Linked DNA regions of Struthio camelus. The protein of the gene in region 2 purifies or fractionates together with the protein of the main gene of each other region. This does not show direct contact. Links are inferred from orthologs where the notes say so. Each region holds a gene or a part of one and is shown on either strand. Other genes may lie near its edges.

What was found.
Region 1: the proteins of MICALL2 (region 2) and RAB8A purify together in Homo sapiens (co-immunoprecipitation; 3 studies listed by BioGRID and IntAct, with this or other methods). This does not show direct contact. The link is inferred for Struthio camelus from reciprocal best matches to the Homo sapiens genes MICALL2 and RAB8A.

Annotation. Positions count from the first base shown.
Region 1 is NC_090967.1:5,168,926-5,177,848, forward strand, and holds the start of RAB8A (ras-related protein Rab-8A), read left to right. Parts: upstream 1-3,696; 5' UTR 3,697-3,776; coding exon 3,777-3,900; intron 3,901-4,386; coding exon 4,387-4,447; intron 4,448-4,705; coding exon 4,706-4,766; intron 4,767-5,176; coding exon 5,177-5,254; intron 5,255-5,725; coding exon 5,726-5,815; intron 5,816-7,403; coding exon 7,404-7,469; intron 7,470-8,041; coding exon 8,042-8,092; intron 8,093-8,923. Other genes in the region: TPM4 (tropomyosin alpha-4 chain), read left to right, coding at 607-682, 1,335-1,397, 1,486-1,555, 2,927-3,009. UniProt on the Homo sapiens protein: The small GTPases Rab are key regulators of intracellular membrane trafficking, from the formation of transport vesicles to their fusion with membranes.
Region 2 is NC_090956.1:6,920,660-6,929,582, reverse strand, and holds the start of MICALL2 (MICAL-like protein 2), read right to left. Parts: upstream 5,646-8,923; 5' UTR 5,522-5,645; coding exon 5,379-5,521; intron 1-5,378. UniProt on the Homo sapiens protein: Effector of small Rab GTPases which is involved in junctional complexes assembly through the regulation of cell adhesion molecules transport to the plasma membrane and actin cytoskeleton reorganization.

The DNA.
Region 1 (8,923 bases), on a different chromosome or scaffold from region 2:
TAACACAAATATCCATGGTATTTTTCAGGGGTTTCGCTTGTTTAACAGTATCAGTACAGTGTCCAACCATTTAGTAGTTTCATTTCAAAGGCTGCCAGCATTATGGAGAAACATAATGGCCCATTTGGATCTTTTTCATGAAAAATGTTGAGGGGGAAGTTGCTAATACTTCAGCTTCAAGAGTAACTTTCCTTACTTGTAGGTTTATTAAACATGCTCTTCTAACATTAGCATCGGGTCTCCTACAGTGTCCAAGGTGGTACAAAACAGAATGGCTCTTGTACCGAAAGTCAGCTGCAGTGCAGTGCAAGCCTATACGTTTCTTACTGTTTTAAGACATTTCTTAACACAGAGGAGTGTGCAACACTGAGCTTTAAAAGTGTCATTTATTCTTCGACAATGTAAGGTTAAAGTTGTATTTCATTAGGCAGATCTACTGCTAAAAGGCAGCCATGTAGGATACTTGGAAAAGCTTTTGGTGTCCCATAAACAAACTCACTGCTTTTAGACTTATTTACTTAATAACCTGTATTTTTAGACCTTTTGAAAATTAAACAAAGTCATAACAGTGACAGTGGTAACTTGTACTTTTTTTTTCCCCCGTAGTAAATGTAGTGACCTTGAAGAGGAATTAAAGAATGTCACTAACAACCTGAAGTCCCTGGAAGCCCAATCTGAAAAGGTTGCTTCTTTCAGTGAGCTAAGGGATGGTGGGGGGAAGTCAAAACTTGTCATTAAAATTCACAGAAATAATCCAGAAGTACAAAAAAATTTAAGGGTTTAGTTTGACCGCTTGTGTAACAGCGAGTATTGATAACGTTGTATCAGTTCTGCCCAAAACCAAAATACTCAGTAATCTGGTAATTATCTGCAATATTGCTTCCTGCAAATCAGGATTTGACTCTGTTTCCCACATTACTAGGCAGCTGACTGTTCTTGATTTTGTTATCTTGTTAAGAATCTTGTATTGGTTGCTTGCCTTCTTAATAAGGCAAATTGCTAAAACTCCTGCTTTCATTAAACAGTTGTTTCCAGCTAGCCCTAATTGGTATAGAAAAGTTGATGATTTCTTGCACATTCAGCTATTTTTGTGCTGCCTAATAAAGTAAGCCTGTTAAGGACTAAAATAGATACGTAAAGGAACTTTGGACAGCCTCAGTCTTAAAACGATGGTATATGAATCAGTTTGAGAAGTCTTGGTGAAGAGGAGAAAAATATGGGAAGGGTGTTTGCAGCTATCATAAACGGAAAAGTGGTTATTAATAGGTCAGGTTTTTCATAAACATTATTGCTGCTACAACTTCCCTTAAAGAGCGTGTTTATTGTTTTCACAGTACTCGGAAAAAGAAGATAAATACGAAGAAGAAATCAAGCTTCTGTCTGACAAGCTTAAAGAAGTAAGATTATCCATCCCCAAACTGTGCTTTGGCAGCCTTTTTTTAACAGCATCCATTTATTCTATTTATTTATTTGTTTGTTTGTTAGGCTGAAACACGTGCTGAATTTGCGGAGAGAACAGTTGCAAAACTGGAAAAGTCTATTGATGACCTGGAAGGTATGAAATTACTGATCATGATTTTACAGGTCTTCATTTTAGCTCAGAAAGCAACATTCTAGGAATAAGTATTATATTTTATTGGGAAAGGACAAAAATATTAATCAGATGTATAGCCAGAGCAGCGTGAGACAATTGGTGATCCGTATGTCTGTCCAGCCGGGTACTTCCTGCCCAGAGGGAATTTTCCTGAAAGAGGTTCTCTTCAAAAGTTGCTACCAATAACCTGCCTTTAGCCAACTCACAAATGTGTGTGCTCAAAGGGGCCTTTCTACTTAACAAGAATCATAATCTCATTTAATCTGATGCCTGAAAAACAATTCTTGGCAGAGGGGGGGAAATGTAGATGAAGCTTCTGACCTGGCAGCTGTGTATATTTTTTTTGCTTTCACACTAATGTTTGACTACATATCTGTTTTCTTCTTCTACTTCCCCCCTCAATTACTTGGTTCGCTGCATTCTGGCTGTCTTCGCATCTTCTGCTATACGCCTCTTCCTCTGGACTGCTTTTCTGCATCTCTTGCTGCAACTTGCCTTCTGCCTTCGTGCCTGATAGATGAGCTGTACGCTCAGAAGCTGAAGTACAAAGCTATCAGTGAGGAGCTCGATCATGCTCTCAATGATATGACCTCTCTGTAATTTGCACCTACTGGGGGGCTTTGACTCGCTGCATTTCTTAAGCTCTTCTTGCCTGTAAGACCTGTCGCTTCTGTGCAACTTCTAAGTGCGATCCTTCAGCCTTCTCTGTAAGATCTGATTTCAATAAAAACGAGTTACCTCTACCTTTAAGCTTTCTGGGTTTTTTTCCTCATGATTCACGTAAAATACATCAGTAATGACACTGAAAGTACATTTAGCTGCTCATGCCAGGGCCAGGCCCCCACAGTCAGCACAGGCGGGACAGTGACCGTGGTGCAGGACCAGCCATGGGAGCAACAGGCCACGCGCACCCTGCGCAGCGCTGAAGAGCTTGGTCAGTCTCGGCACCCCTGATGGCCGGGACAGAACCTGGTGGCCTGGCAAAGGCCTCAGTTTTCGTATTCCCAAAGATGAAAAAGCTTTGAGCTAGCTCTCACTTTGCGTGTTGTTTCACCTGCCTGGTTTAAAATTCTCAGAACGATGGAAACTCTGAAGGACATGTCCTGTACATCGCGTGTTAAACTAAAATACAAGTCTGTCGCATTACATATCAGACCCATCCAGAAACCCTTTAAACGAGAGCCATTACAAAAATAATTATCAGTCCCAAATTTCTTTGATGCAATTATAGTGTTCTCTTAAAAGTAAAGGTGAGTAATGAGGTTATTTATTGAAAGAGAAAAGGCAGTAAAATGTGTGTTTAAAGTCTTGTTTTCTCTCCTTTCTCCCTAGAAAAACTTGCTCAGGCAAAAGAAGAGAATTTGGGGTTGCATCAGACACTGGATCAGACGTTAAATGAACTAAACTGTATATGAAATTGAGAAGAACGCTCAGCCGCCAACAGAAACTTAAACATGTATCTGTATTTACCGTTTCATTCCTCTCTTTCTCTGTATCTTAGAAAAAAAAAAAGAAAATTAAGTTATGAGCAGTGCCCAAAGCGTTCAGGTCAGCGCCCTGGGCGTACCGCGGCCGCAGCCGCGCCGCTGTAGGGCCGGGGCGGCGGAGACCCAGCTCTGTATTTATTAAACTGCAGCATGCAGGAAGGCGAGCGACGAGCCCGCGCGCGACCCTCCTGCCCCGTCTCCGCCGGCTCGGCGCTGGCCCCGCCGCTTTTTTATGTGGATCAGTGTAGGTGGTATCCCAGCAGTATTACCCGCGAACGCGACTGTTCCTGACGTTTTCATATTAAACAGCTTCACCCCGACCCGCCGTGTCCCCTGCTCTGTCCGTAGCGCCGTCGCGCTTCCCCGCGCGCGCAGCGGCTGGGCGTGATGTCAGCAAAACGTCATACCGCCACCTAGCCGCACGCGACTTCCGTCCGCCGCCGGAAGTGGCGTCTCGCCGGGCACGGGCGGCGAGGCGAGCGGCCAATGGCGCGGCCGGTTACACACGGAGCGCGGCTCGCCGGCCAATGGGGCGCCGGCTCCGTTCTCTTCCTGCTCGGCGGCCGGGGAGGCGGGCCCTGCGGCGACGCGCCGCTGGGCTCGGCCAATGGGCGCGCGGCGGGCGGTGATGGCCGGCGGGCTCGGCCTGTGAGGCGCGCGGGGGCGGGGGTCGCCGGAGGGGCGGCGCCGGGAAGATGGCGAAGACGTACGACTACCTGTTCAAGCTGCTGCTCATCGGCGACTCGGGCGTGGGCAAGACCTGCGCGCTCTTCCGCTTCTCCGAGGATGCCTTCAACGCCACCTTCATCTCCACCATCGGTGCGCGCCGGGCCGGGGCCGGGGCCGGGGCCGGTCGCCGCTGCTTCAGCGCTGCCCCGTGCCGGCGGCTCGCGCGCTGGGGGGCTGCGCGGCGGCGGCGGCGGCGGGGAGGGCGGTTTCGCTGCCGCCTCGGGCGGCTTTAGCGGCTCGGCGCGCAGCGCCTCGTTCAGCGGTTGCGGTGGAGCTCGGTTGCGCCGGCCTTGCCTCGGCGCCGGTTGCGAACGTGCCTCACTGTTCGTTCGCTCCCCCCGGCCCTGCGGGGATCCGGGCAGGCGCTTTGCTTGTGGCTGCTGCGGCTCAGATCGCTCTCCTTCGCTCTGCAGAGGCCGTTGTCTAGCGTGAGCGACTGTAAAACCTCGCGCTTTGCTTCGTTAGCTACCTGGAAGGGTGTTCTGCCAGTGCAAACCTCACCAGGGAAACGAGAGGGGAAAAGTTAGCTTGGTCTTCAGCAGAAACTAAGAGTAACTTAGTTACTTCTCTTTTCAGGTATTGATTTTAAAATTAGAACTATAGAGCTAGACGGCAAGCGAATTAAACTACAGATATGGTAAGCCTTTTCTTCTAACGTTACATGAATTAATTTCTTATAACCCGGCATCAGTATGGTGTGGAGTAGTGATATTATCATTACGTTTTCAATCTAGTTGTGCTCTTCAGTAGCTTACAGTATCTTAGAAACCACAACTGTTGTTTCAGTGCTTCTAAAAACTGATTAAAAATATTTAATTAAAGTTTCTGAAAGCTCTAATTTCAGCGCAATAGCTTCGCTGGGTTGCATGAGCCCCTGTGTTCTGGTCTGTTTCAGGGACACGGCTGGGCAGGAGCGATTCCGAACCATCACGACAGCGTACTACCGGGGAGCAATGGTAGGAGCGGGGCAGGTCACGCTGAGCGTTCAACAGACACCTTAGTTTTCAACATCAAACCAGCTGTGTTTTAATGGGGAGCGTATGTAACCGCCTGTGTTTCAGCATATGAACTCTAGCTGGGTAAACACTTGACAACTTGCACTCCTGTTCCTCAGCGCTAATGGTGTTGAAGCTGTACTGAGACAATGTGGGGACCTACAAAGTCAGATTTCCATTGTGACTCACTGTATAAATATACATTTAGTACACCTTATCTAATAAGACACAAATTGTGATTAAATGTTATGTGTAACTTGGAACTATTTCTTTTTAAATAGTCTTTGTTAAGTTTCTTTGTCATGGAAAAGTCTTTAACTTTTGCTTAAACTGGCACTAGCTGAAATAAGGTGTTTTGTTTTTATCTTTAGGGCATTATGCTAGTCTATGACATCACCAATGAAAAATCTTTTGAAAATATTCGGAACTGGGTCAGGAATATTGAAGAGGTAATTTCTGTTTATTGACTCAGTATTAAAAATGCTATCCCCATTCTAGAAGTAGTTAAAAGTTAAATGCTTCAGCATTGTTATGTTTCTTTCTAATTTATGTACTGTAGAGTAAATGTGGAAAACATATTGCAAGAAAATTGGTAATATCTTTTAGAATGTCTCGGTTCATAGTAATTCATTGCACGTGAGAGCACGTTGTATGGACTGTAGCCTTTCTAGCGATTGAGAGATGTTTTCCTGCCACCGCAAGTGACCTAAAGAGCTGCCTTTATGCAGGCAGGCCCTGAGCTGTGAGTGTCTGAAGAAAACTGTTGGGATGGGGTGTTTGGGGGAAACTCTTAAATCTATGGAAAATTCTTTGCATCAGCACCTTTGTTTTCAGTACTTGATGTATGCTTCACCTTTCTGATGTTTTTTTGTAGACAAATACTAAGCTGAAGTACTTTCTTTTGTCTGTTTCTATGTCAGCATGCCTCCCCAGATGTTGAAAAAATGATTCTTGGAAATAAGTGTGATGCAAATGACAAAAGACAAGTCTCTAGAGAGCAAGGGGAGAAGGTAAGTGCCATCGCCTGGCTTCATCCTGTCTCTGCCCAGGGGCTGAAGTCAGTGCTTGGAACTGAATACTTCCTAAATCCCTCAGTCTCTTTAAAGCCCGTAAAGTTCCTTACTTACTGCCAAGACGGTTGCCAAGTGTGGCTCGTGTGTCTGACTTGCTGCTTTTGTGGCAGGAGTCTATGTTATAGCTGCCTTAGGAGGACTAAAGTGCTAATTTTGAAGTTCCAGCCAGTAAGATTGATCTACCACTTCTGAAAGCTCACTAAAGTATGATGGTGTTCCTTCTTGGATTTAATCTTTATCCTTGTTATTTTGGTCTCAGCAGTGAAATCTTCTGTACGAATGTTAAAATAGTTTTTATTCCTTTTGATGTATGTGTGCCTCAGCTGGAAAAAACTGTAGGCTCAGTCTGTTATTCTGCTGGTAGAAAACCTGTTCTTCCAGTGAAGAAAATGGTTCAGAGTTAGTGGTTATTGATTTCTATACCTAACAAAATAATGTGCACTACCTGTGAAGTGTTATTGGCTTCTGTGATCTCTTATGAATGCCACAGTCGTAAATGAAGCTTACAAAAAAAAGTTGAGATCATAAATTAGAGCCCCTTGCTCTAATTGTAAGCGTTCAGTGTTGTGCTCTTAATCGTTAAAGAAAAAAAAAAATCTTCATTTCAAAAGTTGAAAATCCAAAAACCTCTGGAGTGTTTTATAAAATTGCAGTTTGCTGATGTTTGGGACCGTTTAGGAATGGTTAACTTGGCTATAGAATAACATACTCTTAACATTATAAACAGCTGTATTACCATGTTTAGTAACAGAGGCTAAAGTCAGACTTCCACTTCCAAAGCGGCAATTGTCATTTTCTATAAGGTGCTTGAGAACTGATACACTGAATATGCCACCGCCACCAGCCCCAGAAACCTCACTGCTTTAATTTATTTCAAATTAGACTTTTCAAAATGTAAACATTGTATTCATTGTTGTCTATATGTTGCCCTGTTTCTTCCAGGGTATTTCTCAGTGGAACTATTTAACGTTTCCCAAGCTGTAGTTGCAATATGTTTCCCTATTCTGATGAAAAGATGAGTCTGTGTTAAGAATTCTTGTTTGTTGACTGTCTGGTCAGGGTTTGTTAGATGCAGAGCAGGAAAACTGAATTTATTCTTAGTAAAAGGAAGGAAAAGCATGCAAAAGGCTAGCATTTAGGAATGTCCCTTTTTGATGAAAGCCAGTGAGGCAAAAGAGATAGGATTGTCTTTTCTGGCTTCAATTGTTAATTAGTCAAGGTAAAGAATGTACTTCTGTGCACTGCAGGTATTACAAGTCTCACAAGATACCTATGCAAAAAAATAAAATATAAGGAACAAAGGAGCCAATTAAAATGTATGCAGAATGTAAAACAGAAGAACAAAAACCAGTGAGAATAGATACCGAGAGGAATCAGATTCAGTTCCTGATTTTTGCAAATTGTTCTGCTTGAGTAGATCCCCAATTCCTATGAATCACTCTAGGAGGGGTAGATCCTGCACCATTGGTTATATTTATAGCTGTTCCTGCAATTATCCAACTAACACGAACCTGCTTTTGTTCAGCTTGCCGCAAGTTTTGGAATTAAATTTATGGAGACCAGTGCAAAAGCAAATATAAACATAGAGAATGTAAGTATGCAACCCTTCCCTTCTACTTACTGTCTTAGTACAAAAAGAAGCAATAAGAGCACTTACCCGTGCTGACTGGATGCAAAACTCAATTGTTAGATATTTCAGATGGGTTGTTAAATACATATCTTTGCCTCCTGTGAATGCATGGTCTAACCAATGTTATTCTAAATGACTGAAATTGAACTTGGTGCGTAAAGTGTAATGCAGAGGCATTACAGCAAACTGCTTTAGAATAGCATGCTGAAAAGATTGGTTTATGTCTCTGCATGTATTCGATAGTGCCACTTAGAAAGGGCATCATTTTGCCACTATATAAAACCTGGATGTGCCCACATCGTGGGTACTGTGTCCTATTACAGTTTTCAGCCTCAAAAAGGCAGTAGTGGATTTAGAAAAGGTTCAAAGACAGAGGAAGGAGCATTAAAACCTCGAGAAAGGAATACTGAGAATCTGACGTTCTTCACGAGTTTCGTATGTGCAGAAGCACAGGAAGGCAGCTTATTACTAAACAAAAACGTTGGGATATGTTTTCTTCGTCTTGTAACTTTTAACTGTTGTACTTACTATAGGCATTTTTCACTCTTGCAAGAGATATCAAAGCAAAAATGGACAAGAAATTGGTGAGTAACTTTTTACTTAGTCTAGGCTGTCTTTAAGTAGAAACCAACAACCAAAAGCCCAATACTAAGTACTCTATCGTGTTGAATCAAAAATATTTTGTCGTCTCTTTCATGGGGGGTGCACTGAAGGTTATAGAAATTTATTTTTAGTGTTCTCGAACTAGTCTGACCTTGGGATATAAACAGTTGTCTCTACATTCAGAAACTAGCTGCAATGGTTGAGGTTCTCTAAATAAAATTATCTTTTATTTGTTTTATTGAAAGCCAAGTGAATCGTAGAGCAGAGCAGTTTAATGATATTTCTTGCTCTTGCAGTCCAAAAAACTGAATCACTTAAATTAGCAACATGGGAGGCCCACTTCCTACTTCACTTAGTCTTCAGGCTGTTATGTTTAACTCAAGGCAGAGAACTAATTAGTTTTTTTGACATAACAAAATCATCTCTCAGGGTGCATTCATAAAAGTCATCTTTCGTACAACAAACGAACATGCATCGGTTTCGGTCTGTGGGTCTTGTTGATGCTTCCAAAGTATTTCAGTAAAAGCCAAACACGTCTTGTATTTTTAAAATTTGGTTGCCTTTGAGTTTAGAGAAATAAGAAGTGTAGTCCATGTTAGTCGGACCCAAAAGTAGCAGATGCAATTCTTTTGACCTCTGGTAGTGGCTGATAGTAAGGCTCACTTAAATGAATGAAAACTCCCGCTCGTTTTAGTAATAGTTTTTGTATAATCACAGGCTTGATTCAACCAAATGGATAAAGAATAGATGCTAGATCTTGCAGTGATGCTAAGAGCTGTTTAGTATAAATAAGTAACTTAAAATTCTTTGAA
Region 2 (8,923 bases):
AGCAAGCTGGGTTCTTTATCTACTCCGTACAGAAAGCAGCACTTTACATTATAAAGAAGAGAGGCCCCTTAATACAGGTCCCCCCATCATGCCACGGGCTGTGCCACCTTCTCTGTTTTCCACATCTGGATGCAGGCATTGCTATGCTGCATAAGGAGAGAGTGAACAGGAAGCGAGGGAGGAGGCACAAAGGTCAAACTCCTGAGAAGCATGTAAAGACAAGGCACATCCCAACTCTAAATCATGTACTTTTTCCCGTGCAAAATTGAAAGGACTTGCTGAGGTTTTCTTCAAGCAAGGCTCCTGCCTGGAGATTTCCCTTCCCTGAGACAATAGATTAAAAACAGCAATGAAAATAATCACAAAGTCAAAAAGCTCCAGTGAAACAATGGATATAATCATCCTGTTTTGTGCAAGGCAAGAAAATTAGCTTTTTTATTTTAAGAGCTAATTCAAGGAGCTGTTTGCAGCTCTCTGCCCCGCTCCCTATTCTGCTCCAAATTCTGCACCTCTCCATAGCACAGAGGTCTTGAACACAGTAAAACACCTGAAAGAGCAAAGGGAAAATCCAGCTTCCTTATTCAGGTGAACACAACACAGTGCTGAGGAAAGCAGGAGTCACATGCGAGCGCAGCGAAACTGGGCTGAGCGCCGGAGAGGTGTCCAACGTCACGACAAGCCCAGGCTTTCCTTTGCTTTGCAACGACACATCTAAACGCAGAAGCAGGGTAAGCGTGAAAGCAATCGGTGCCAGACTCTCAAATAATACTGAACCTACCTATTTACTCTCCATCCGTGCCTTTCACTCTTGCACTACTGAATGCCGTTTGCTACAGTAGCATGTATTCAGCTTCACAGCTGTGTGGCATGGAACAGAGACCTAAAAGCCTAAAACTCTGACGGTGACTGTTTGAAATCTCCTCCTGCCCCTAAAGGAGGGTGCAAACAGCCAGGTTACTTGGTCGTTTAAAGAGCCTCCTGCCCTCCCAGCATCACTCCGTCCCTAGCTAGTCAGGTGATCAGCTTACATAAAAATACTTCTTTAGGAAATTGATCTTGCCAGCGCATCTCCTATCCTGGAATATCAAATACTCTCTGCAATGTAATCCTAAGAAAGAAAAGTTAATACAAATGGAGAAGCAGGAGTTTTCCACTGAGAAAACATGGGCAACTGAATTAATTGGAAGAGGTGAGAAACATAAATCTGACCCAAGAGAGGGCCTCCAGTGTTGGAAACAAATCAGAATGGAGTTCAATAGTGCAGGAAAAGAAGTTTTTAGCTCCCAAAGTTCTTCTCTAGTAAAAGAGTGGCTGAGCAATTCCCATGCCCAGAAATCTCTGTGACCCACCCCTGCTCTGGCTGCACAGACCCAGAGTTTGCATAGCATGCCACAGTCCTTCCCAAGCGCGCATGCTTCCCTGGGAGGGACTTCTGCTGCTGCTGCAAGCACTAACTCTGTGGGAAATGCTACCTTGGAGCAGACTGAACAGAAAATGGCCCAGAGGCTAGCGTAGGCAAAGCAGGTCCCGCAGAACCTCACTGCCTCTAGGCACCTCCATACCATTTTTGTAAGATATCTGCTGTCAGAAGGATGACTGAAAAACAGAAAAGCATCCTTTGTCTGCACGCAGTCCTTGAACTGAGGGTTCAATCCCGTCTGCTCTTCTGAGAACAGGACCTTTCAGCAGCTTGCTTACCGAAGGTACAACAACCTGGAGAGAGGTGACAGGGCTGGGAATCCTAAGTGGAAGATGCCCCCCTTGCTCTCTTCTTCCTCTCAGTGACCCCTGCTTCACAGCTTCTCTGATCTCACTGGAGGGCTGACATGCTGCTGGGGGTGACTATGAAAGGATGAGTCTCCCTTATTCCAGAACCATCCTCCCCTTACCTACGCCTGTCGTAGGAAACACAACCTGGAGGAAGCCAAGCAGGTAGCAGCTCTGCTTCGCTCCAGCCCTTTGCTGAGGAGACGGAGACCGTGGGCAACCTGCCTTCAGCACAGCCGAGGCAAGCACCCCAAGCCTAGGGTCAGCAGTGGCTGGGTCACCTGGTGCTCGTCCCCCTTTCTGTCTTTTTTGGAGGCTCGTGGCCTCCTCCTCCCTGGCTGAGCTGACAATGACCCAGGAAACAACATCGCTGGAGGCAGCTGCTCGGCTCCAGCCACCAAACGCGCCTGAGCACACAGCCGCCAAGGGGGATTTCACAACCAGGCAATTCCCAGAACGCTGAGTTAAATACCAGTTAACGAGCCGGGAAAGAGCAAGATCCAGGATGAAGACAAGGAGCTTAATCAAAACCTTTCCTCAACATCTGGCATTTATTTCAGACCGAGTGAGCAGGAGACCATGGCTCCTCTACTTCTTCTAATTCACTTATCACACTCAGACCACTAAAACCTCTGGTCAGAGCTCGCACAGCCAACACCATCACACACAGCAGCCACAAAACAGAGCCCACGTTTCAGAGTCCCACTTCATACAGCTAAGAAGTTCCATATTCCTCTGACGAGAGGAACTTCAGTGCTCTGTAATCAGCCCAGCAAACGGACTGAGACCTGCCTGATGCAGCATGCGCACCTGTCTGGGGCTGGGTATGAAATACTCTTCAGCTGGGATGAAAGAGAAGTGAATTTCCATGGCAATTCAGTTGCGTGTTTCTACTCCAACAGAGCCCAGTCTGTCTGCGAATTCTCGGGTGAGTGGGAAGTGCGTGGGAAGTGCATTTCTGATTTCACACAGCCTGCCCTATTCACCGATAACATACAGACTGACATAACCCAAGTTTGAAAGAAGCTATCATATTCTCCACGTGTTTTCTGGCAGGAAAACAGGAAGGGGGAAGAGATATATGCCAGTCTATACTCTGACCCATGTATTCTCAACCCCGCAAGAGAAGCACATTATTAACTTGTTTTGAATTGCCTGAAATTTTCTTGTGAATGTCTCCAGCCTCCTCGAACAAGAAATCCCCTCTCCGTACTGTTCAGTCCTCAGCCCAAGAATGTCGTTTACACAAACCAAGACAGAAAACACATTATTGCAAAACTCTGATGCCGTGACTGAATTGCGTTCTGTAAGTGATTTACATATAAGGGCTGCTCCAAACACACCGAGCTCTCCAAACACCAGTTATCCTATTCTAGCTTTACTTTCAGTATGATGCTTTTAACATCCAACTAGGATCTTTGCTAGAAGCAAGCTTCTGGAGCTCAGGATAAAGCATTTCAAGTCCCCAGGGAAGTCAGAGGCGCAGCCACATGCACACCCAGCCACGCTTCCCTGCTAGTGGCTCCTGTGCCGTAAACTCAGAGCGGCTTTTGAAGATTCACAGAGAATTTGCACAAGTATCCAGCCCCAGGAGCCAAGGTACACGTGACACCCTGCAGCCTTGTCCACCAACCACTTCAATATGTGACTTCCTTCCAGCAGGACTTTGACCATCCAAGGATATACACCTGGTGCTTTACTGCATTTACACTACTGTCATTGATGAAGGAGGTTACACATAAAAGACTCTGTTACTTTAACCTTTACGTCATCTTCACCGAGCTGCTCTATATCAGAAAGAGCTTCTATAAGGTCCTGAATAAAGTCAGGCAGAATTTTTTTCAATTCAACGGGAAAGGACCGATGTCACTAGGAACATTTTCCCTCTTGAGTACAGAGGCATTTATTTAAGATAAATCTATCCACAGCTCCTGGTGCACAATTTAAGGATTATAAACAACTTACTAATTTGTGCAGCAGGATTATTCCAGCTCTCAAGTCACTAAGCCCCTGTTTACATCCATGTCCCCAGATGGGCTGACTGCACAGTTGGCCAGGAAGTGGCTGCAGTCCTTCTAGGAGCACCTCCCAGTCACATCAACATTTTTGCCCTAGTATTTCATATCTTATAGACTATGAATCAAAGGAAGGAAAAGAAACATTTGGAGTCACGTGGAAATGAAAACACGTCAGGAAGCCATACATAACAACACCATGGTGACTGCCCAAGCATTGGCAAGGAGGAGATAACACAGAAAGTGCGCCTAAAGTTCCTGCCTAGTCTCCTACTGTTCAAGCTAGCCCTTGCCTCTTGCAAGTTTCAAAACAACGGAGAAGAGAGCAAAAGGATGTCTCCTTCTTGGGTTCCCACAAGAAGGGACACCTGCAACAGAGATCTCCATACATAACTCCCTGTGACAGGCTGTCCTGAGAACCCAAGGGAAAAAAAAGGCAGAATTCAAGGAGCAGGAGGAAAACTGCAATACAGAAAACACAACCTTGTCCTCTGCTAGTCAACCACGTCTGACTGGAAGACATCTAATGCTTAAATCAATACTGTAGGGAAGTCTTTGCACTGCTTCCCTGCACTGATCTCCCTCTTCAACCCCCCCATTCCCCCGCCCCCGTCTTCAAGTGAAAACGGCCAGGCGAAAAACCGAGGAAACAGAATTTATATCTTCCTTTGGCATTACACCTATCCAGATTTTAAATTTGGGTAGAGGCAGGTCAAAGTCTATAGGACAAGAGCAAAGAGGCCAGCAAGGAATGCAAGGCACTTTGCCTCCCACAGACCAGGCTCCGAATGCGAAAACACCAGTTTGTAGGAATCCAGCAGCCACCACGCTCCTGCCTTCACAAAGAGCTCCTCTGAAAAGAGGACACTTTCCCTGTTCCCATGGAAGAGCGAGTGGGCTGCGGGGAAGACGTAAGCTTTCTCCTGAACAGCTCCTATTAGATACTTAGCAGAGCAGCCTGCCTGGAAACTCCCTGCACTCCTATTGCATTTTGTTTAAATAGCATCTATTCCTTAACTAAAAACTGACAGAACTGCCGTTTGGCTCCGCAACAAAAGCCGAGCCTAAGCAAACACAAACAGCAAAGAAGGAAACGTTTCCCAACTGCTGCCTGAGCTTGCTTTGCAAAAGCAAGGACATACTTTAAACGTTTATCCTTTGGCCGCAGCCTTCCACAACTCCTTAAAAAACAGAAGGGGGGCGAAGGATAGCCTGTAAATGGGGAAAAAGAAGATTACCTTGGAGGCTTCCTGCTTCGCAAGCTAGCAAAGCTCCCCTCTGACACGAGCGCTGCCTGACCGCAGCATCCTCTCGGCAGGACTCGGGACCAGTCCCCTTCCCTCGCTGCTGCACACCTGAGGGCGGCGAGGGCCCTCGGCCTCGCCAAGCGCGGCGAAACGAGGGCCGGCGGCCTTGCTGCCCGCAGCACAGGGAGGCTGCTCGGCCTCGCCAGCCGGTGCGAGTGGGGACCCTCGGCCTCGGCGGACGCTGCGAGCGGAGGGCGCCCGGCCTCGGCCAAGCGGGGACCGTTGGCCTCGCCGACCGCGGCCCGGCCCGTAGCCCGAGCGGGGGGCCGGGCAGGCGGCGGGTACTCACATGAGGTCGGGGCGGTGGCGGTGCAGGATGGCGCAGAAGGCGAGGCCGTCGCGGAAGGAGGTGGTCATGTTGGTGATGCTGACATCGCGGTAGCCCTCGCACTGCTGCTTGCACCACAGCTGCAGGTTCTGGATGGCCGCCATGGCGCGGACCCCCCGGCAGGGGCAGGGGCAGGTGGCGGCGGGGCCCGCGCCCGGGGCGGCTCGGCGGGGCCGCGCAGAGCCCCGCGGCGGCGGCGACCGAGCCGAGCTGAGGCGAGCGGCTGCCCGGCGTGCGGCGGAGCGGGCCGGCCCGGCGCGACGGCGGCCAGGAGGAGGAGGAGGAGGAGGAGGAGGAGGAGGAGGAGGCGGGCGGAGGGGCGGGCGGAGGCGGCGGCCGCCACCGCCCCCCTCGGGCCCGCCCAGCCCCGCCGGCGGCCCCGCACCTCGGCGCCCTTCGCAGGGCGGCGGCGGGGTTGAGATATGTTTTCTGTTATCTCCGAAGCGAAGCTTGTTTTCCGCGCCGTCCGCCACGCTGCCCGCACAGTCCGCGGGCCCGGCTCCCCCCTCCGGGCCCGGCGAGGCAACAGCACGCTCTGCTCCGAGCGTTGCTGCGGGGCGAGTGAAAACACCATGTCACGCAACTTGGGGGGCTGGTGGTGGAGCTCCTCTGCACCCCTTCCTATCGACGGAGGTTGCCTTAGCGTGGAAAAAAAACCAAACCCAAACAAAAACCTCAAACGCAAATAAAAAGGGCTTCTGGTCACGCGCGTGGGTCACAGGCCCACGCGGCCGCGTCCCGAGGGAGGAAACGGCAGCTGTCCGGAGGCCGGCGGGCGAGGAAGGCTGACGGGCAGGAGCCACGGGGGGACGGGGCGCCCCGGCGGGAGCAGCTCGGCGGCACCACAGGCCGCAGAAAGCCCGGAAGGAGGCAGGAGGGAGACGCTCCCGCGGCCTAGGAAGAGAGCAAAGAAAAGGGAATCGCGCAGCGATCCCATTACGTACAAATTTGGGCTGCTTCCCCTACAGCAGTAAGAGTTGGCGCTTATTTTTGGCCTCTCGTCAAGTTACCCATCAGTTTTGGATCTGCCCCAGACGGCTTAAGCCACGGCTAAGGAAAGCTCAATGACCGTTAATTTATGCAATCACCCCCCAGCACCCACATCACAAAAAAATAACTCACCCGCTACGCTCTTGTTCAGCTGACAAAACCGCAGAAGATACAAGGTAACACTTTTTAAGAGCTGCCTATAAATTAGGTAAAAATAATTAATAATACATATTATATAATATATTAATAGCATTTGTATGACATGATATGGATAATATACATTAATATATAAATACCTTACAAATAATTCAGTGTGTTTCCATTTCATCAACAAGCCCTGGCCAATGTATTTACTTTATGGTAAGGATTATACATTTCATTATAAATGGCTTGCTGGGCATGTCAGCAACTTTTACATCTCCATTCACTTTATTATTAATGGTTTCCTGAACAGTAACGGCATAATAATGCACACAATGCAGCATGAATATTTGATGTGGCATCTATAGTCTCCCATTTATCATTTATAACAGGCTACAAAAACATTATAAAACATTTATTACAAATTTATAGATCACTTTATACTAAAACAAAGTTGTGTTATAAATACATTATTAATCCTTTATGCCATTTATAGGAATCCCTTGTAATAAGGCCTCAGCGTATGTTGCTGCACACCCCTAACAATAACAGAATGGTGGGGCAGGTAGGAAATACGGCTCAGTAAGCCTGCTCTTGAATATTGGGCATAGTCTGTAAAGGAAGGGATAAACATCTGCACTCAGAATTAATCAGACTACCAAGGGAACAATCTGAAGAAATGCTAGATCAACTCAAACTTGTCTTTTCCCCTTGAAAAAAACATGCATTAAAAGGTGCTTTTTTTCTTGCACGTGTTGGAAACTTTCACCACAGGTGTGATGTAACAGAGCTCACCTATCCCAGTCCATTTTCACACAACCTTTTAATTAGATTGATAAAACTTGCAGAGTTTCTAAAAGCCAACTGGCTAATGACAGGCAAATAGACAGCCCTTTCCATCCTCTGTCATCAGGTAACTTAAGGAAGAGGCCCTCATGAGAAATAAAGAAGATGCGCTTGGTTTAGAAAATGCATTTGTGGGGTTTAAGTCACTAAGACTGTTTTGTCTGGCAGCATGCATCCCACTACAGTGCTTGCAATCTAAATAGTGCAGCATTGGGAAATGAAGGAAGAACGATGTTTAGAAATTGAGTTGTTGCCAAACAGTAGTAGTAAAAGTAGTGAAAAATCAGCTTCTGAGTCTAGCTTTGACGCATCTGTAGTTACCCCTTTCAGATTTAATGGCCAAGATAGGGCACAGCACAGAGAAACATATTTAGTTGTTTAGAAAAAAATATATTTGTTTAACATGACAATCTGTATTCCAACAAACCTGGCTTAACGAGTCAGTGTGGTTAGTCCCTTCTCATTTCCTTGCACTTTGGGAAGGGGCAACAGGGGCTGCGTGGCAGGGAACAGATCCACAGAGCAGAAAGCCAGGATGGACTACAAAGAGCAGCTGCTATTTTCTGTATATCACAGACCACTACGTTTCACCTCATTCCTCCCTGTATCAAGCCCAGTCATTTGTGTTTGACCAAGACAACTGTATCAGAAAGGCATCCAGGCTTGCAGACACCAGAAGACAAATCTACTAGAGGCTGACTCCATGCTGTGCTTCCCAAAAGAGGGTTAGGTCGGAGACACAGCTTTTGGTATACCACAAGACTCGGGTCCACATTATAAACTAAGGTGATTAGAATAATGTTGCTGAATGAGTTAGCTAATACAGTCATAGTATTACTAGTGGCCCAGTAATGGCTTTTCAGAATACAGGCATCAGCGACTTGTGCAGTGTTCTTAGTTGGTGATTAAGGAGAGCTCGGCGGGAGTTAATAGCTATGATGAGCCTTTAATGCACGAACAGGTAAACTAACAAGCATTAGGGGAAGGAACTGGGGAGAGAGGGAGGCAGAGCTATCTGTGCAGCAGCTTACCCATTACCGACAACTGTTGTTCTCCCAAGATGTTCCTGGTGGGATGATGCTTGCGAACCTTGGATCATATTTTTCTCTTTTACATCTTTCCCTTGGAGGAGTCTTGTATGTCCATATGCCTGTTTTCAGCATCTTGCCTCCACTCACTTTGCTTCTCCCTGCACTATGGGGCTTTCCCACCTGTGGCATATTGCAGACACATGGAGCAGAGCATGTCCTGTGAGTGCAGTGCCTACTTGCCTAGATCCCTTCCTGAGACACGTTCAGAAGCTTACTGGAGAATGAGGAGAACAGCAGGCCACAGACGTGAAGTGATATAGTCTCCTATATTTACACTTTCCCTTTTCTTTCTCTCCTGCAGGCCCTCTCAGCTCTCCTTCTAGATACTGATCTGTAGTGCAGAAATGTTGAGTGTTTTCTGAAGGCTGCTCTTAATAGTATGGATCACAACTGCCATTACCTCTTAAATTTGTCCTGGTTCCCATATGCATATTATTG